Astyanax mexicanus: one gene and its partner. The protein of the gene in region 1 purifies or fractionates together with the protein of each later gene. This does not show direct contact. Links are inferred from orthologs where the notes say so. Each region holds a gene or a part of one and is shown on either strand. Other genes may lie near its edges.

What was found. The genes of interacting proteins can lie anywhere in the genome.
Region 2: the proteins of eif3ba (region 1) and eif3i purify together in Homo sapiens (affinity purification with mass spectrometry; 12 studies listed by BioGRID and IntAct, counting the BioPlex papers as one, with this or other methods). This does not show direct contact. The link is inferred for Astyanax mexicanus from reciprocal best matches to the Homo sapiens genes EIF3B and EIF3I.

Annotation. Positions count from the first base shown.
Region 1 is NC_064410.1:55,933,203-55,944,574, reverse strand, and holds the start of eif3ba (eukaryotic translation initiation factor 3, subunit Ba), read right to left. Parts: upstream 4,672-11,372; 5' UTR 4,648-4,671; intron 4,498-4,647; 5' UTR 4,384-4,497; coding exon 4,281-4,383; intron 956-4,280; coding exon 763-955; intron 667-762; coding exon 547-666; intron 451-546; coding exon 393-450; intron 1-392.
Region 2 is NC_064410.1:39,627,954-39,638,725, reverse strand, and holds the start of eif3i (eukaryotic translation initiation factor 3 subunit I), read left to right. Parts: upstream 1-6,514; 5' UTR 6,515-6,649; coding exon 6,650-6,652; intron 6,653-8,269; coding exon 8,270-8,362; intron 8,363-8,454; coding exon 8,455-8,542; intron 8,543-9,151; coding exon 9,152-9,217; intron 9,218-9,370; coding exon 9,371-9,520; intron 9,521-9,663; coding exon 9,664-9,791; intron 9,792-10,203; coding exon 10,204-10,314; intron 10,315-10,407; coding exon 10,408-10,497; intron 10,498-10,772. UniProt on the Homo sapiens protein: Component of the eukaryotic translation initiation factor 3 (eIF-3) complex, which is required for several steps in the initiation of protein synthesis.

The sequences.
Region 1 (11,372 bases):
TCATGCTCATCCATGCTGCTACAGCAACTGTGCCTTATGCCTTTGCTCTCTGGATTTCGAGTTGCCGCTCCTTCTTTAGTACATTTGTACATATATGTCTATCTTGTTATACATTTTATTCTTTATTTTATTCTTATTTTATCTTGTATAACAATTACTCTTTGGGTGGAGCTGGAGCGTGGATCTACAATTTCAATCCACCTCATGTGATGCAAATGATATAAGTCTCCTTAAAGCTTTGCTTGACAAAGACAATGGGTTTAAGTGTCATGTTTCTTGAAAGGTAAAAGTCAAAAGATGAGTGGACTTCTGGACAAACATTATCAGGCTTTAGATAAACTAAAAATCTATCACAGTAATGTGTTGTGCTATTAAAAGTCTGTATTACTCACAAAATCTTTGAAGGGTTGTCTCTCAGGAGGTTCCCATTCATCACTGATTGACATGTACCTAGAAATGATAAATTAAACACGCATTTTAAATTAATATAGTGTTTCAGAAATAGGCAAAAAACATTTTAAAAATGCTTAATTGAGCAGAACATACTTGTCAAAGTCAGTGAACAGGTTGACACGGAAAGTATGCTGCTTATCCAATTTGTAGCCGTCAGCGTTCTTCACAGCTTCGTGTGCGTGACTTGGAACAGAATACTCAAGGAAAATGTACCTGAACAGCAGAGAGCAGACGCAAGAGATTCATCCATTATTAGACAAATTCAACTTAACCTACTTTCACAACACAGGCAGTCAAACCTGCACTCACCCCTTGGTCTTGCCGTCTGCTTCTGGGTAGAACTCGTTGGTGATTTTGCCAAATTTTGAGAAGATCTTGTGGATGACATTCTTGAGTTTCTCCAGACGGTCTTGTCCTACTTGAGGAACATTGTCAACGACAATGACCGAGTCGATACCATCAGCCTCCTGAGGTTTCTCCCTGAGGATGTCTCCCAGCAGCTCTGCAAAGGCCAAGAATAGTATAAAGTGAAAATTCAACAGAAACATACACTCTTGAAAGGTGCGACAAATTGATTTTTTGATAGTCATTTAATTAATCCATATAGAAGCATTTTTTAAGAATTTATTTTTTAATTCTACATTTGGTGGGAAACAAACTCTCAAGTTCTTCTGAACACATGGTAAAAACATTACATAACAATTTCCAAAGACAAATTCACTGGGGCTGAATGATAATTGAAAAAAATAAACATATATTAATTATGCAACCTGTGTATCAACTAGGAGAGTAAAACAAATAGTAATGAGTGTGTGTGTGTGTGTGTGTGTGTGTATATAAAAAATGGTTGTTTTAGAAATGCCAAAGAGTTACTAGAGGTGGAAAAATAAGTTTTATTGTAGCTTTATATTTTAATATATATATTTTTTGTTGTATCCACAATACTTTAGACATATCAAGGACATCAGTAATTAAAGAATACCTAATTTTACATTTTATTAAAAAAAAGCATAATTAGACCTGTTTAATTGGACGAGATATTTTGAATGAATCACATGTATCGAAATATTTGTTGTGTGTTTTCCAGTTTTAAATTGTATTTTTAAAAAACGTTTTTGCTAATTTATATAGAGGGAATTCTAAGAATATCTAAGCTGTTAAGGTGTGTGTGTGTGTGTATGTATGTATACATACATACATCCCTCTATATAAATTAGCAAAAACGTTTTTAAAAAAATACAACTTAAAACTGGAAAACACACAACAAATATTTCGATACATGTGATTCATTCAAAATATCTCGTCCAATTAAACAGGTCTAATTATGCTTTTTTTTATAAAATGTAAAATTAGGTATTCTTTAATTACTGATGTCCTTGATATGTCTAAAGTATTGTGGATACAACAAAAAATATATATATTAAAATATAAAGCTACAATAAAACTTATTTTTCCACCTCTAGTAACTCTTTGGCATTTCTAAAACAACCATTTTTGCACCATTCTCTTTTGGAATACAGTTTTGTTTTTGTTACACCTGAAACAAAAGCCCTACTAAGAAGCCTTTCTCTAGATTATAATGGATGTTCTATTCAATAATACACTTGGCAGGGCTTCAGGAGCAGGACTTAAAAACCCTTACAAGAACTACTGTAGAAACTGCCAACTACAATTACAAGCAAACCGTTACATTCAGCTGCTCAATTAGATAACATTACCACTGATAACATGTCTTTGAGGCTGGTCTTATTTAAGATGTTTTAAGTGAGCAAGTGTAGCCCTTTAAGGAGCAGTGTAACACTGTTACATATATTTAGGTCTAAAACAAAGAAATAATTGCAATAAAAATACACTCTCCTTTTAAAACAATTTAATGACAGTGATATTATGATAATAAAATAGTATAATAATGCATTTACAATTAATTCTTGAACTTGAATTAAAAATATTTAAAAATCAGAATCCAAAATTATTTAAGAATGACACATCTAAAACACTGCTCATAAACAAGGCCAATGCAGACTAATTTCACAGTGGAAAATATTGAGGTCATGTCCATATAAAAAATTGTGACAGGCCTAGTTAAATTTAATAATTATTATATATCAAAATTTCATAAATATACATATCCTAGCAGCTTTGCAAACTAACAAATGACATGACAGATCACTTCCATTTAGAGGTTAGATATATCAGTTGTGTCAAATGTGATACAAAATATTATTGTATATTCAGTGTTTTGTCACATCGCCAAAAGTATCGTTATTGTGAAAATACCATGAAATATTGTAATATTATTTTAGAGCCATAATGCTCACCTGTAATTTAAAGACTTACAATCTAAATGTATTTAAAATATAAATCTAACACACATTATATAGCAAGGAAACACTTTTTGTATTTTTTAAATAAGAAATGTAGGATAAATGTATTGCAGACATGTGCAGGACATATAGCTATACATTTTTAAGTAAATAAATTTACAGGGAAAGTCACCAAATGTGAAATGTATTGTTGCCTGGAGACAGCACCATGCCATAATATAACTAAAACATATATAACTAGCTAACAATACATGTACTGCACAATCCTAGTAGCTAAATGTTAAAATAGTGGGTTTGACATTATTTAATTTAGTGAGAAACAATCAATTTGGTTATCGTGTATTTATTTATTAATAATTAAGGATACATGTTGTTCGTGAGGAAGGCATATAGATTGCTTAATTAGCACATAAAATAAAGTTATTTACTTAAGTTACATTGTGACCCAACTGTCAGGCACGCCTCATTCATTAGCTTAGCATAGCTTAGAATACTTTAGCTTAGCATAGACGGATAGTAGCTTTGTCCACGCTTGTTAGCCAGACAGCTAACGTTAAGCTAAGCTAGCTAGCATGTTGTACGGTGTTCTGTCGAGTTCTGCTACCTTGTCAATCTGTGCGTCTCTGGTGCATATTTAAAAGGTTAAAATACACAAAAAGTACAATATTAAAACCTAGAATATTTCCAGTAAAAGTCTATGTGCTTTTCTTGGACACAATAAAGCACAGTCTCAGGGAGAAGTTATGGAAATAAGAGGTTATTCGAATCTGCTTTTGCATTTTATTAATAATACATATTGTATACAATATTATATTACATTATAACGGTAATAACATATTACTAACATTATTAAATTGTCATTTACAGTTGTATGTAATGTATGTAAGGTTGATAAACGAACAAAAAACACAGAAAAAGAATTATTATAAAAAAAAGAGCATGAAAAAATGTATGTTGGCGCATGCGCAGTGCCTTTCGAAAGCAGGTACTGATGGGTAGCAGAAGTCGACAGAACACCGGTTCAGATGCTGCTATGGCGTATTAAATAGCTAACTTAACTTATTTATTCAGCTAAAAATTAAATAATAAATTGGGCTTTCGCAGACACTAACAGAATTGCTTATGTTAGCTAAATAACGTAGTTTATGTGAGCCTGTTTATCCAGGTAGCCGCTGTTAGCTTAGCTTAATTACGCTAGATTTTGTATTTGATAGCGTAACTAAGCTAAGCTATGGCCTAATCAACCGACTAACTAACCTAACGTTAGCTAAGCTAAGCTAACGGGCACTGAATGATCATGCCTGCTGCATCCAGCTGCTGCTCCCGAATCACTACTTCAACAGCAAACCACACAGCTTATGATCACAACCCAAATAATTATATAACGCTAATGAAATATATTATATATAAGCCTAGCTACCGAAATCCGCATGACCGCGGTATCAGCGAAATCCGCGGCCGAAGGCGGGCCTCGCCGGGCCGGCCGCTCTCCCAGCCACCTACCCGAATCACTGATATCATCCTCGAAGTCCTCCGGGTCGCTGAACGAAGGCTCCTCGCCTTCATCAAACTCCAGCTCTGCGTCCATATCCTCCGTATCTCTCATCGAGGCTTCGCTGTGGACAATACCGGGCGATTAGCGCGATTCGCGGGTGTTAAAAACCGTAATCCAGCGTTTTTCCTCGCAGGACCATGTGCGGTGCCGCCGGCGCGAACCCCCCTGCGCAGAGAAAAGGAACAGGCCATGTGAGCCCAGCCCGCTCAACACTGATATAGGGCGTAAATTATAACCCTTTAAATACATTTAGACAACTTCGTACATGTTTTAATTTATTTTATAAAATAAACACATTGCTGCGCATGAGCATACCTGCTTATTTTGAGTCAAACTGGTGTAAAACCTGTCCAAATGCTGTTCTAGTTATGTCTCCCCCCTTTTTTCGAGAACTTGGTTTCTCCCACTGAGCCGGTTCCAGCAGCTCGCTTCCCGTGCGCTGTACGTCTGTCTGTGCGTGAGCCACGCTGTGAGTGAACGCTGTGCGCGTGACGCAGCCGGCCGGGCACGTACTGCATGATCTGTATGTCATATGTACGCATACAACACGTTAGCACGTGTTTTGAAGATCAGTACTTTAAACAATTCAGTAAAACTAAGCAAAGGCTACATTCATTCTCCATTAGACTCCAGTCCTTATACTCAGAATCAGGTCACACACTGTATAATGTACATTTTATTGCATGGTCCCTATGAAGCCCCTAAAGTGAGAACATGTTAAAAATGAATGCATGGCCACAACTTATTAAGGCGTGGGATTGATATTCTAGTGCATGGGAATGAGATAATTAAGTAATTGCCACGACTTACTAAGATGTGGGCGTAAGATAATTAAAGCTATGTTCACATTACCAGGCTGAAGTTACTCATATATTTTTTCATGCCTGTGTGAATGTGCCAAATCCATTTTTTTTTTCGAATCAGATCTGAGCCAAAACCATATATGGTCCTACATCAGATACGTACCTGATCCATGTACATGCGACATGAATGTAAACGGTCGAATCAATCAGAATTCATAAGTCTTTTTGCTTTTATGCATGGGCTACATGCTATAGCTGCAAAGCTGAGCATAAACTTCAGACCAGCCGTTTGCTCTCCACTCCAGCAAAAGAAGCTCCACATATGCTGCTAACGCATTTATTTCCCTTTAGAAAGCTACAGGTCGTCTCTCAAATATGTGTTTTTTTGTTGTTGGTGAAAAAGGCGGCATGTGAGGCGTTTCAGGGACAGATTTGTTCACATTACACACATTATGTTTAAGTTATTATGAATATTTAAAAATTAGCAATGGTGTAAAGGATCTGGTGTGAATGTACTTGAGGTTTACCAATGGTCTCAGCGACAACTCATTTAGGAGGTCGCAAAATACCCCATAACCACATCCAAAGAACTGCAGGACTCATTTTCCTCAGTTAAGGTCAACATTCATGACTCTAAAATGGCCTGAATGCCAAGACAACAACCGCTGCTGAAAAGAAAAATTAAGGCTCATCTCAATTTTGCCAGAAAACATCTTGATGATCCCCTTTTTGGAAAAAATACTCTTTGGACTGATGAGACAAAAGTTTAACTTTTTGGAAGGTGTGTCCCTTGACATCTGGTTTCTTAAAATAACATTTAAGAAACATAAAAAAAAATCATACCAGCAGTAAAACATGGTGGTGGTAGTGTGATGGTCTGGTGAAGACTTTGGAGTGGCCTAGTCAAAGTCCTGACCTGAACAGTATTGAGATGTTGTGGCATGACCTTAAAAAGGTGGTTTATTCTGGAAAATCCTCCAATGTGGCATAATTACAGTAATTTTGTGTAGAAAAGTGGACCAAAAATTGTCCACAGAGACGTGAAAGACTCATTGCAAGGTACTGCAAGCGCTTAATTGCAATTGTTGCTGCTAAGAGCTGCCAATCCAGTTATTAGGTTTAGGGGGAAAACACTTTTTCATACAGGGCCATGTAGGTTTGGATTTGTTTCTCACTTAATAATAATAAAAAAAATTGTTTACTTGTATTGTGATTTACTTATATTTACAGTTGTTTACTGATCTGAAACATTTAAGAGTGACACACATGCAATAAAATAAGAAATCATGAAGAGGGCAAACACTTCTTTTACACTACTATATTATAAGTGGATTATTAAATTATTTTAAGCTGTTATTTTTATTGCTTTAAATGTGCAACAATCACAATCATCAAGAGTCTTCAGATCATCAAGAATACAGCCCCTGAACGGCTGTGATGGGAAAAGAGCAGCTGTTTTAAAGACAGGTGAAATATGAGCCCTCATTTTTGTGCAGGTCAGAATCCTCGCCGCAGCATTTCCCAACCACTGCAAGCTGGAAACGGAGATCTTTGGCAGGCCAGAAAAAGCACATTACAGTTATCCAGCCATGAGAGTCAATCCTGCAGACCTTGGATATATTACTGAGGTGGAAGAATGCTGTTTTGCAGACGTTGTGGGTATTAAAGCTGTCAAAAGTGACACCCAGGTTTTTGGCAGAGCTTTAAGCCTTTATAGACTCCAAGGCAAAGGGTTTCTATATAGATAAGAGCCCCATTTCTCACTGTATCCTATTATATTCTAATTTAGCTGCAAAAAATGCTGACACATCCAGGACTTAAAGGTCTCATTCTATCGTTTTTTCATTCATTTAAAAATGTCTAGTTGTAGTCTCTAGTATGAATGGATGCCATGTGAGCCAGTGTTTCTATTTATCCCTGCTTTAGATCACTGAATTAGAGGTCTCTGGAGAAAGACAGGTTTTGGCTCTTGGTCATGAATATTCATACATGCAAACATATCGCCTCTGATTGGCTAACAGCACTGCAGCAGAGAACGCCTACCTGCTGTCACCCCACAGTCAATTTCAAAGCTCTAAAACTCAATGGACAAAATGTTTTCAGAGATACAGCCTTAGTTGTAAAGATACAGAACTGAGTGCTAGGTCAAGTTCTCAACATCGCTCAGCATCAAATGGCCCCGCAACCGAAAAATGTTATCAATGCTGCGGGCTGAGTGTAGACTGTAATATAGTGTAATATAAATATATAGACTGTAATATAGATATGTAGACTGTAATATAGTGTAATATAGTGTAATATAGATATTTGTACCAAGAGGTATAACAAGTCTCCTTTAATATATTATATTATCTGGTAGTTACACCTTATTAAACCAACATGTCAAATTAGAGGGATTTGGAGAGGTCAGGATTACTGATTGATAAAGTAAGTGAATTCTGATATAACTGGACCAGAGCTCATGTGAGGTGTATTTTGAGTAGTTTTTTTTATTTCTCCACCAGAGGGCACCTTTGTGAAAGAAAAAGAAAAAGTGTTCTTCACTTTCTCACACTTATGAAAGAGGTGATTTCCAAACAGTTACACTGATAACATATGACATAGATTCCAAACAAGAACATTAGCAGGAAAAGAAATGGCCCATTCTCCATCACCGTACCCCCGACCCTCCTCATGGCCCAGGCCAAGAGCACACTACAACCTTATTACAATCGTCAGCTGAACAAGTCCAACAAATCTGGCAGATCCTGCACAGCAGCTGCTGCTCACATTGACGGTAGATTAGTAAATATCAGAGTTCACTATAAGTCCAGCAAGAGACAGCCTGGAGGAAATGTAAGGATAACAAGAGTCATGAGTTTGAGTTTGTGGAAGTGAGCCAAGCCTGGCCTGAAGAAAGGGTCGATTGTGCATCTTCCTCCTGCTGCAGGGTTAGAGGAGTTCTCCTTTAGGTGAGCATCACTGTATGCAGGCCTCTGTGTTCCGACCAGCCTGAACTCAAAACGCGGTCTGCATCCAAAACCACATACTGCTAATTAACAGTACATTAGTGTAGTCTAGTGTAGTCTAGTGTAATATAGTGTGGTGTAGTGTAATAAGGGGAGTTTAGTGTAATATAGTGTAATGTTGTGTAGTGTAGTGTAATATAGTGTAGTGTAATGCAGTGTAATAAGGGGAGTGGAGTGTAATATAATGTAATGTTGTGTAGTGTAGTGTAATATAAGGTAATGTAGTGTAATATAATGTAGTGTAGTGTAATGCTGTGTAATAAGGGGAGTGTAGTGTAATATAGTGTAATGTTGTGTAGTGTAGTGTAATATAGTGTAGTGTAATGAGGTGTAATAAGGGGAGTGGAGTGTAATATAGTGTAATGTTGTGTAGTGTAGTGTAATATAGTGTAGTGTAATATAGTGTAATGTAGTGTAGTGTAATGTAGTGTAATAAGGGGAGTGTATTGTAATATAGTGTAATGTTGTGTAGTGTAGTGTAATATAGTGTAATGTTGTGTAGTGTAGTGTAATATAGTGTAGTGTAATATAGTGTAATGATGTGTAGTGTAATACAGTGTAATGTAGTGTAATAAGGGGAGTGTATTGTAATATACTGTAATGTTGTGTAGTGTAGTGTAATATAGTGTAATGTTGTGTAGTGTAGTGTAATATAGTGTAATAAGGGGAGTGTAGTGTAATATAGTGTAATGTTGTGTAGTGTAGTGTAATATAGTGTAATGTTGTTTAGTGTAGTATAATATAGTGTAGTGTAATATAGTGTAATGTAATGTAGTGTGATAAAGTGTAGTGTAATATAGTATAGTGTAGTTTAATATAGTGTAATGTAATATAGTGTCTTGTTGTGTAGTGTAGTGTAGTGTAATACAGTGTAATGTAGTGTAGTGTAATGCAGTGTAATAAGGGGAGTGTAGTGTAGTGTAATATAGTGTAATGTTGTGTAGTGCAATGTAGTGTAGTGTAATATAGTGTATTGTTGCGTAGTGTAGTGTAGAATAGTGTAGTGTAATATAGCGTAGTCTTATGTAGTGTAGTGTTATATAGTGTAATGTAATATAGTGTCTTGTTGTGTAGTGTAGTGTAGAATAGTGTAGTGTAATATAGCGTAGTGTTATGTAGTGTAGTGTAATATAGTGTAATGTAATATAGTGTCTTGTTGTGTAGTGTAGTGTAGAATAGTGTAGTGTAATATAGCGTAGTGTTATGTAGTGTAGTCTAATATAGTGTAATGTAATATAGTGTCTTGTTGTGTAGTGTAGTGTAGAATAGTGTAGTGTAATATAGCGTAGTGTTATGTAGTGTAGTCTAATATAGTGTAATGTAATATAGTGTCTTGTGTAGTGTAGTGTAGAATAGTGTAGTGTAATATAGTGTATTGTAGTGTATAGTATTGTATAATATAGTATGGTGAAGTTGTATAATTCAGTGTAGTGTAGTAGGGTATGGTGTGGTGCAGTAGTAGTATAGTGGGATATAGTATAATTCAGTGTAGTGTAGAGTTAGAATTCTACTGTAATATAATATAATTCACTGTAGCGGGTTTGGAATGGTATATTATTGTGAAGTACAGTGTATTATGTGTATTGTATTACAGTGTATTGTATAGTATTTTGTAGTGTATTATGTGGTTTTATACATTCAGGATAAGATAAATGGAAAGGCAAGTATGTGCAGAAAAGAAAAAAGGTCTGTTTTTGTACACTTTTAAACAATTTTAAACAAGCAGTTTTTATATAATGCTGTATGTGGAACTCCACTGTGGACCTTTTCTATTTTTATTGCACAATTTGATCATACTGGCATTTAAAAGAGAAATCTGAGGATAAAAATTCAATCCAGGGAGCAAAAACACTTCAGCCCCTTAGTGACTATACATCAAAAGTAGCACAGTTCTGCAGAGAAACCACAGACCTGGCAACACTGAGGCAGGGGGAGCAAGAATACATCTTAGTGCTGTAGTTAAAATGGCACTGAAGCAACATAGGGCCCAGTTGGGGTGAAGCGTGGCGGGGGGGGGGGGGGGGGGTGTTTGGTGGGTTGTGTTTGGGGGTTGAAGAGGTGTTTCCTGCGCTGCGTAACTCTTGCACAGCCTCTGTTTATTTTCTTCTATTTGAACTCGTACTCAGAGCTGTTCACAGGAAATGCACGGACCCTGCTCTCATAGAGGGAGGGGCTACATCAGGACTAATCTGATTTAGGACTGAGTGTGTATTTGTGTTTATATATGTTTACATGTGTTTTACAGAAATATATATTAAATATTGTCTTATATTCTTCTTACTAAAGGCCAAACTTACAGACAATGAGGGGTAGTGTCTTCTTTACAAAGACTGTTAGGGTCCTCTACTTTTGCAAAATTATTTCATTATCTCATTTAATGTTTTATTTATTCATTTATATATTTTTTTCATACGTAAATTAACACTTACGTCATCTACACTATGAAGGAACATAGTCAACTTAAACGTGTTAAACAAACCAAAATACTCTAACTTAGGTGCTCTTATTTGGGTTGCTGTTAATGTGCAGTTTCTGAGGCCGGTAACTCTGACGATCTTCCTTTCCTGTGGTGGTCCTGATGAGAGCCAGTTTCATCATAACATTTTTAATGGTCTTTTTTATGACTGCACTTGAGGATACTTTCAAAGTTCCTGAATTTTTTCGGATTGACTGACCTTCATTTCTTAAAGTATTTTTTCTTTACTTAGTTACTTAGTAGTTCTTACCATAATCTGGATTAGAAATAGAGCTATCCACTGTATACCTGTAACTCTACCTCTTCACTACTTTACAACTGATGCTCTCAAACACATTCAGAGACAAGAAATTTAAGTAATTAACTCTTGATGAGTTCAGCACAGCTGTTAACTGGAAGCCTGAATTCCAGGAGACTCTACCTCATAAAGCTGACTGAGAAAATCCAGCCAAAATGTGTAAAGCTGTCTAATCTATGCGAAAGGTTCTTATTTTGAAGAATCTAAAATATAAATCATATTCTGGAAATAATTTCATACTTTTGTCACAGCTGGGGCCGAAGGTACTCTTTTTTCTCCCACATTCAGCTCTACCTGCGGACTACGATACCCAGAATGCACCTCTCACTGGCATCACTCACTAACGCAATTACATGACACTGCACAAGGCACCACCAGGAAGTCAATCACCAGAATATTAATGTCAACTGTTCCACCCACTATATATACACCCTAACCTCACTCACTCTTTACTT
Region 2 (10,772 bases), about 16 Mb from region 1:
TCTTTGTTACTCTTTCATCACTCTGAAAATTCCTCTCTGTGGAAATCTCTCACTCTAACACGCTAAAAAGGGGCATGGAACATTGCTTCAGCTGCTGCTTAAACTTGATGGAGTATTATTGTCCACCTCTCACTTAAATTTACAAACGTTAGCCTCGATCTTCTTTTTTTGGCTGACAAACCTTTAAGAATCTAGATGGATGGCAGGATGTGCTGCTTGAGAGCATCGCCTTATTTTCTTACAAACCGAACAGCCGTCATTGTGTGGCAGTAGCTGTACCTGTTGTTGTTCTTAAATCTGTGTTTAGTATCAGAATGTGTCCATACAATCGCTCCCAGCTTTTTCATTCTTTTCCTCATTTATTTGTTTTGTTTACCTATTTATTTTCCAGTTCGATTTCACAATTTAAGGGCCTAAATACACTAGTGTAATTTCTCCATGCCATGATTTAATGTTGGCAGAGATGCAGGTTGATGTTGGAATATTATAAGTGTTGGCAAATAATTGCTTATAATGAAAAAAAAAACAGATCAGCATCAAATTGATGTATTTGGTAGTGTGTTTATTGAACTTCAGAAAAGTAGAATGTTTAGATGACCGAGAACTACAGCACTAAAGTGTCTAACATATATTTACTATTTTATTATTTTTACTATGTTTGTAACTAGGGGTGGGTGATATAGAAAAAAGATTATGGTATTTAAAGACATTTTCACAAAATAGTTTTGATATGCAGACAAAATGCATTACAAATTGACAAATTCTTAAAAGCTGACTCAAATACTCTCATATAGTGGTGCACAGGGATTCATAGTTAAAATGTGATTCACTCCGTCCAATTAAAAGAGTAAAAAAAAAAAGTCAGTGACCACATTGTGTCACAATATTATAAAATATTGTCTTATTGCCCATCCCTATTTGTAATTCTACAGAAATAAATATTATATTTTTCTCTAATACTACTCCAGATGGTTTCAGCATTTTATAAATTCTGTATCAGCAGAACCGAGATGACCCTTATTCCTCAATCACTAGAGTTTGATAGTAAACGCTTACAAATAAAGGTGCTACAGAAGGTTCTTTAAGTGATTGGCATGGAAGAATTACTTCTGGTTCTATAAAGAACATTTTTTGTAAAAAAAATACTTTTTCGTTATGTGAAGGTTTTTTAGAGACCTTTAAGGTTTTCTTCTTCACTTACTGTCATCTCCGACATCTCTGTCATAAAAATGCTTCTTTATGGAAACATAAGTGGTTCTATTATGTAGTAATGCACCAAATAAGCAAAAAGACAGAATTACTTACAGAATAGTGTATAACAAAATTGAAGCAGTGGCAGCAGTCTCTAATTAGGTCAGACACTGAAAAGGTTGGTGGGAAAGAATATTTATCAGCATTTTCTGATGTTTGTAGCAGAATAAAGCAAGTTACTGATTGTCTTGTTAGAGTAAATTGTTTGTTTTCATCATTATCTACTTCATTATCATTCTCCATCATTATCGAACTCAGAACATTAGTGTATCAAGGCCCTCAGTTTGATGATACTGAGAAAAACAAGATTTATTTGTCTGTTATTTCAAAAAGAGTTTGCTCAAAGTTCGAAATTATGTAGACCTATTTTTTCATCTACCTTAAATACAGTTGTAAAATGTTTAATTCTGCTAAGTGTTTGCAGCTCATTCCAAAACCCTTTTCACTGCTTTTGCAGAACGTGTTTGTGTTTTAACACTGTAACACTACACTCAGAATTCTTTTTGAATGGGTCAGTTTCATCAGCAGGTCATTTGGCCAGTTTTACAGACAATTCTCCAAAATCATTCTGAGAGACCCAAAGGAAAGCATGCATCATTCGAACGAGGTTCTGACCACTACAAAAGGGTGTAGTGCATTAAACTACACATCAATACACAGTCTATCATTTTAATCCAGTGTTTTCTCTCATAGTAAACCACTAGTTTGAAATTTTGTTGTTGCTAATGTACAGTATGTCTCTTAACATGATTGAATACAGATTAAAATCAACTTGCATTAAACTTACAAAAAATACTTACATTATAGAGATATTTAACTGCATCCCATATCCAATTTTCTGTGTGATCAGGTTCAATAAAGAGATTCTAAAATGTTAAACTCTATGCAATTTTAGTGCCGTTCATGTGATCTTTATTTAGCTCCTAAACAAAGATCTGATATGCTAGGATTTGAATGTACATTATTATAATCTCATCATGGCTTCACAGTAACTGCTGTTGTCATTTCTGGTTCTAATACATTTTTACTTTAAGGCACTGCATTTTTCTATCTGTTTTATACTTGGACACATGAACATTAGGGTTTCATTTATCTTTACATCATTCCCTCTGAATCCACATGACATCTTCCCTGTGTTGAATAACAGTCAGATGTCAATATGGATCCAGAACAACTGTTCTTCTCCACATTCCATCACTTGCACAATAACAGCACGCTGGCTTTTATGGGTTCCTCTCATTTGTTGTTCAGTAATGCTGGACCCATCCACAGTTGAAAGGTACCAAAGATCTTTGTTAGTTTGTTTTTGTTTGATTTCCTCTTTTTTGCACACCCTGTAAACATTATTTGCAAATTAAACTACACAGAAAATAATCAGCCTCCATGTCTGAATTTATTGATATTGATGTTTTGTTTATATATGGCAGCCAAAAGCTTGGACTCCTCTGGTTAAAAGATCTGTTACTGTTAAATAGTTAAATGTGCAGAAAATGAACTGATCTCCAAAAGGCATACAGTGAATGATTTGTAGATTGATTCTCTCAAATAATTTTTTGCAGGGGTTAGGCATTGAATAGCTTGTTATAACTGTGGCTGCACCCCAGTTGTGTACTGCACATAATATATACAGGGGGTTGGACAATGAAACACCTGTCCTTTTAGTGTGGGAGGTTTCATGGCCAAATAGGACAGGCCTGGTGGCCAATCTTCATTAATTGCACATTGCACCAGTAAGAGCAGAGTGTGAAGGTTCAATTAGCAGGGTAAGAGCACAGTTTTGCTCAAAATATTGCAATGCATACAACATTATGGGTGCAATACCAGAGTTCAAAAGAGGACAAATTGTTGTTGCTGGCGCATCTGTGACCAAGACAGCAAGTCGTGATGTATCAAGAGCCACGGTATCCAGGGCAATGTCAGCACACCACCAAGAAGGACGAACCACATCCAACAGGATTAACTGTGGAAGCAAGAGGAAGCTGTCTGAAAGGGATGTTCGGGTGCTAACCCGGATTGTATCCAAAAAACATAAAACCACGGCTGCCCAAATCACGGCAGAATTCAATGTGCACCTCAACTCTGTTTCCACAAGAACTGTCTGTCGGGACAAATTATTGTGGTCTAAAATTAGGTGTTTTAGTTTTATTGTCCAACCTCTGTACTATAAGTTGTATTATACTACAGTTAGTTCTGACCCTGCAGTTGGATTGGCTCAGAGGCATTCTATGGGGGCCATTATCAGCCGGTAATGCACTGTAACAGAAGCTCTCAATGCATTACTCCGCCACATACAGGTAACCTAGCAACGATGCAGCATTACCAGGCAAACAGCGCAGCTACAAACAGAGCAGCAATGAAACTATTTTAACTTGCAAGTTTTTATAACCAAACAGGTTGTGTTTTCTTGTCCTCTTTTACTCAAACTCTTTCAATAAACAGTAATAATGGAACTGTGGTATAATCGCAATAATACCCTCAAGGGTCGTGCTATAACGTAATATTGGCACTGCTGTGCTGATCTACGACTGCAGCCCAGCAGTGCCAATATTACACGTAATAGCAGGAACCTCAAGTGTATTATTGCTTAATGCTACACTGCTCAAAAACATATAACACCATCAGTTAAAGTTCAGGGATATTGATCTTCCCAGTTGAAAGGCATAAGCAATAAGTCAAATTCATTCAAACTAGTTTGTTAGCTAGCTAATATGTTCTTACATTGTGTTCAAAATGTTAAAATCTAGTTTATTAGGCTGCATCCTATTAACATGAACCTATCAACAACTTACTATTACCCCATATCTTTATTCTGCAACTTACCTAGTATAACTGCAACTATTTAATTTATCTCTGCTGTTCTATATCAGTTTAATGTGTGTATATTTTAGATTAAAGAGGGAAACCCTAATGATATAAAGGCCTGCTTCATACTTTGTCAATAGATCAATACTTGACAGTGACATTTAAACCTGCCCAAAAATGATTGGAAATTGTTAGTGGGTATAGATCAAGCTCGATTAGCAGGTGGACAAGATGCAAAATTGACTGCGCTTATAATAAGCAAGCAACATTAACCAGCTAATACAGTGGTATGAAAAAAGTTATTGCACCCCTAATAATTTGCAGTTGAGTTATACTAACTGTAGTAAACTGACTTGTGATAGTAAAATATTGTGACTGTGTCTTACTTTTGGACAATGCAACTATTATTGGTTGTATTTATAATGACTGTCTGACCCCTCACTCACTAATCCTGCAGGCTAACTCCACATCCCCCAAACTCAACTCAACTCACAACTCATCCCAAAAGTATCTAATGAAGCAACATCATTCCAAAGAACAGTTTCACTGCTCCTCAGCTCAATGCTAACACCTGACCTTTGATATGTTACATTACATTTGGCAGACGCTTTTGTCCAACGCGACTTACAATAGTGGAGTACATAAAGTAACAAGTTAAAGGTAAAAACACATTTTTAGACATGGCTTAGAGGAGGTCAAAGGGAGATAATGGGATAGAGGAGTGAAGGAGGGGAAGAAGGAAATAAGGTTAAAAGTAGTTAGTTAGGTGTTAGTGCTCTTTGAAGAGCTCTGTCTTCAGGATTTTATTAAAGATAGTGAGAGATTCTCCTGATCTGGTAGTGGAAGGTAGTTTGTTCCACCATTGGGGAACTCTGTATGAGAACAGTCTGGATTGCTTTGTGTGAATTGTGTTTGGTAAAGCGAGGTGACGTTCACTGGAGGAGTGCAGCGGCCGGGAGGTGGCGTAAGACTTCAGGAGTGAATGCAGGTAGGAAGGAGCTGTTCTGTCATCACCTTGTAGGTGATTGTAAGAGCTTTGAATTTGATCAGAGCAGCAACTGGTAGCCAATGGAGCTCAATGAGCAGTGGGGTGACGTGCTCGTTTTGGCTGGTTGAAGACCAGACTGTCTGGATCTGGATGTCTGTTGCTGCATGTCTGGATCATCTGGAGTGGTTTTATTACACAGGCCGGGAGGCCAGTTAGTAGGGCATTGCAATAGTCGAGGCGTGAGATGAACACTGCTTGTACCAGGAGTTGGGTAGCCCATCAAATTGTTCTGATGTTATACAGCGAGAAGTTGCACGATCGAGCAACTGTGGCCACATGGTGCCTAAAGGAGAGCTGGTCATCCACTATAACACCCAGGTTTCTAGCAACCTTTGTCCGGGAGAGAGAGAGAGAGTCGATGGTTGTGGCCAATTGGTTCATAGTTAACTGCTCCGGAGAATCAACATATACAGGTGGGCCCACAGGGGTTTTACCAGGGTATATTGGGCATAAACAAATGTATGGGCTGTGACTTGGTACCACATGGACTTCCCATTTGGTTCCCTAGTTGTCAGCTGCATGTGGTATATTTGGGCACTGTTTGGGCTAACCATTAAGCTATCTGTGTTTTACATGGGCTTAAGTGGGTGTATTATTGGCTATCTGATGGTTTTTGTTTGGGTCCCACATGGAAAAACATTTAATGCAGTGTTTGAATTCTGAAAGCCTGTTGTCGGTGCGTATATAGGACTAGCTAAGTTTTAAACTGACTTGGGCTGTGTTTTCTGGAAAATAACTTAAAATGTGTACTGAAAACTGAGAACTGCTCAGTAGAAGTAAAGATGGGCAGATGTAAGAGAAGGAGATGTAAAAGCAGATGAGCAGCTCTGTACACAACTCCCTCCTGCTAAACACCTCCGCTGAGACAGTCACGGCACAGCATGTAGACCATACAATTCTTCAGCTCCCTGTTTACATTCAACTTTAACACTGAAATCACTAATTTACTATAGTAAAACTCACCAAAATATGTAAATATTAGACATTGTATCTACATAATAATATATACACACACAAAAGCCACATCTAATTACAACAGGAAGTTACATCAGTTCAAAAAAAAAGATTAAAAATAAGTTTAATTTGGATTTACAACAAGCAATTCGGTGGCACTCATTCTGTGGAATTGCCCAAATATATTTTAATAATAAAGAATAAAGGCCAGACAATTTAAAAGAGAGCACAAAAATCTGGTAACGTTATAGTTTAAATATTAAAGTTCGTCTGATCTAATAAATTCACATATACGTTTTTTTATGTTTTATTATTATTTATTCTTGTCCGTAATTTTTTTGCCTAAGTGCCTAAAATACCATAAATATAAAAAACGAATTAGAGACGAAAATAACAGTACGATAAAAAAAGAAGAAGAAAAAAAAAAAAGACTGTGAACCTTTATTTTGAAGTGGTTGACGGGGCGCAGGCGGTAGTCGCGCCCTCTGTCGGTCGGTTCGGTCCTTGCGCGGTGCCGGTGATACACGCGGCTGGTGTGTGGAGAAGTTTCTTCCGATCTTTTAAAAAAAGGGAGGAAACAGAAGATCCGCAGCCATGGTGAGAAACACATTCAAATACCGAGTAATACCTGGGTATTACTCGGTATTTACGAGCTATATTGGTCTGTTATTAACCAGAACCGGGTGTGCGTATGTAGTTAGCTAGCTAGCAAATTAGCGGGCTAGCTCAGTCGCTATGTTAGCTAGTTAGCTTAGTTACATATTCTCCGTTCATTAAACCGAATTAGTCACTTATACTTTAACGTTGACTGTTTTACCTGTTTCGCTGTGTGGATTGGTAGTTTATGGGGTATCCAGTAGACAGTATATGAAAACACAGTCAGTGTCAGTGCCAGCAGTTCTCTCTAATTCTAATAATATGTGAACTGGCTAAGCTAGTTAGCTTAGTTTAGCGCGGCGGCTCTTATTATATGAGGGTAACGTTAACCAGCTCCAGCTATGCTAGCGTTAGCTGTTCCTCAGATGTTGCTTTATTTCGCGATGCTAACAGTTAAAACATTAGAGCATTGCCTGCTAACGTTACCTATCTGCCACCGAACCATATTTGTCAGCGTTTAAATGTCTAACATACAGCTCTGAAAAAAGAAAAACACTGGACGAGTTTCTTTGATTTCACCAAATTGAAAACCTCTAGAATAAGGGTAGTCAAAAGCCATTAAACCCAGCTAAACTGCTTGAATTTGTGTACCAGGAGTGGCATTAAGATCCGAAAGCAGTGTGTAAGGCTGGTGGAGGAGAACATGCCAAGATGCATAAAAACTGTTATTAAAAAAACAGGGATTTCTGAACTCTTAAAACATTATAAATATGAACTTGTTGTCTTTGCATTATTTGAGGTCTGAAAGCTCTGCATCTTTTTATTTCATCAATTAAAATAAATATTCTAAATGACAATATTTTTATTTGGAATTTGTCAGAAAGGCTGTCTGTAGTTTCTAGAATAAAACCATTTTCATTTTGTTTAAATTATTATTTTTTTCCTGAGCTGTATATCAGCAAAAAAATCACTAGGAAGTTTGTTGTCTAAATATTAGTTAGCTAGGTTACGCATGTATTCTTCTGACTGGCTCTTGTTATCGCATATAACCTATATATTTGTCTTACTGTTTATTAACTATTTAGCTAAATTAAAACTTAACCTAGCTAGCTGGTTATATAGCCAGTAGTTTTTGATGATATGTTTTCTTAGGCCTATGTTCATAGCTATCTTGACTTTTAATGATACTGATAATGATAATGATGTAATGATACTGTAATATCAAAATAATGAATTTGATAGTTCAAATCATAAGATACACTGGTGTTTCACCTGGTGATGTGTTACAGGGCAATATATAGCAATATTGCATTGTGATACTGTAAGCGAATCAATATGTATTGATTGTTTTAATCAAATTTCAGAAAAAAAAACTTATTTATTAAACTCGTTTGAAAGTTAAAAAAGGGATTTTCACACAATTATAACAACAACAGGGTAAAGCACTGCTGTCTAGTGGTCAGGTCCTAAACTAAACTGCAAATTGCAAAACAAACTGTCAATACAATGCATATATATTCTATATATTGTAGGAAATGTTGGTAATGTAATTAAATGTAACCGGGCTGGTTTCTCTGGTGCTGTTCTAATAACTGATGATTCTTTTCTTTTCTCCAGAAACCAATTCTTCTACAGGGCCACGAGAGGTCTCTTACTCAGATTAAATACAACAGAGAAGGAGATTTACTGTTTTCTGTGGCTAAAGATCAGGTATGTTAAATTATTTTGCTCAACTTGGTTTCTTTGTTTCCTAAATGCTAAAATGTTGCTCACTAAAAAAAATAATTATCTTTTTCCTTCAGTTTGCGAATGTGTGGTATTCTGTGAATGGAGAGAGGCTGGGCACCTACAACGGCCACTCCGGGGCGGTCTGGTGTGTGGATGTTGACTGTATCCTTTTGTGCTGATGCTTCTGATGTTCCAAGCTTTAGTTATTTTCTTAGCTTTGTAAATGGGTTAAATCAATGTACCTTATTTAAATAACATGTAGTTAGGCTTGTTACAAAATGTATTTTCCCCAGAAATGCAATTCAATTAAAATGTATTAATTTGAAAAGCGTTTTTTTACAACAAATATTGTCACAAAACAGATTTACAGACAAAACAGACCCAAGCCTCTCATGAGCAAGCACCACAGTGATGCCAATTATTGTGTTGACAACAGTAGCAAGGAAAAACTATAAGACTCAGTCACATGAGCCCATCTCCCTCAGGTCGACCCGGACAAATTCATATAATAAATGTAATTTTGAGGTATCGAGATGATATCATGATAATATAATTGTGTAATCGTACAAGAACATTCTTTTAAAGGACATACTATTAGTTAATTTGGAATGCATATTTTTTCTTCCCATGCCACAGTTCAGTCTGTATTTTTGTATGTGCTGCTGTTCATGCATCAGTCATTGTACGTTATTTGTTAATCTTACATATATATTGACATTACATGCATCTGTTTCTTTACCTGAGTTGTTTTACCTTAACCCATGTTAAAAGGGGACACAAAAAATGTGTTGACTGGTTCAGCTGACAACAGCTGCAGACTCTGGGACTGCGAGACAGGTTAGTTAAGTCCTGCCATGGCACAGGTGCAACAATCACCATGATTTTTTATTTATTAATTATAACTATAATTAATAACTATAACTGTTTTGTCTGTAAAATTGGGTTATATATTTTCCAGGGAAATTTAATTATTTTTGCATGTGCGTTCAGGTAAACAATTGGCAATGCTCGAGACCAACTCAGCAGTGAGGACGTGTGGATTTGACTTCAGCGGAAACATCATCATGTTTTCCACAGACAAACAGATGGGCTACCAGTGCTATCTTAACTACTTTGATCTGCGGGACCCCCAACAGATTGGTAAATATGCTTTTTTTCAGTTTCGGTTGATATATCATTTCTAATTTCTGTTGTGAGTCTAAAAAATGCAGCTGTATGGAAACCAGACTTACTAAAATGCTTAATGATGACATGCCTGTATTTGATCTTTTGTCCAATTCTAGAGGACAACCAGCCTTATCTCTCAATACCATGCAGTGAATCAAAGATCACAAGTGCTGTGTGGGGCCCTCTGGGAGAGTTTGTGGTTGCTGGTCATGAAAATGGAGAAATCAACCAGTTCAGCGCCAAGGTTGGTTTATTTTTTGTAATGGGATGTGCATGTATACTGTTGCTTTGTAAATTTACTAAGGGACTGCAGTTTCTAGAAACTTGCTGGGGATTCTATGCTGTAACATATTTTATTTGGGAATACCTGGCTCTGAGACAAAATGCAGCTCTCGGGATTTGTCAGTTTTTGAAAATTATATTGCCTTTATCTGATCTAAGAAATTACTATATACTGTTCACATGCCCACTCTTTGAGAAAACATGTATTAAGACAGTATGTCTGCGTCCTTAATAAAACTAAAATATTCTATGATGCTTATAAGGCAGTAATACAACAGCATGTTTTAATTAGATAAATAATTCAGTCTGGTTTTCAAATATATTTGTTACATTTAAAATAAAAGCATTCAGTTAATGTATCTTTTTATGTGTAGTCTGGGGAGATTGTGAAGAAGATAAAGGAGCACACTAAGCAGATCAACGACATTCAGACTTCTGTGGATCTCACAATGTTTATCACAGCCTCCAAAGACTGTGCTGCTAAGGTTTGTATAAGTTTTTGACAGAATGTATCATGTTTAAACATATACCTGAAAATGTAGGTATTCTTACAAGACATTTTTTCTCTTTGTCTGCAGATGTTTGATACAACATCATTAGACCACATCAAATCCTTTAAGACTGAGCGTCCAGTCAATTCTGCTGCCATCTCGCCCAACATGGAACATGTAAGAGATTTCATCTGTAATGCTGTGTAGTGATTTTCATTAATAGTGTCTCAAATAGTGGGGTGCTTTCATCCCAATAAGCTAAAAAGAAAATATATATGTATTTATTTTTTCAACATTGTGTGTAATCTGTAAGAATGTAATGAATGATTTTAATCTGATAATTATTGAATGCTTAAGATAGGGCTTGTTTTTGGCAGTGTTTACAAAACTTACACTTTAGAGTAAAAATAAAATGTTTAAGGGTATAATTTGTTTGCTTTTAAATATTGTTA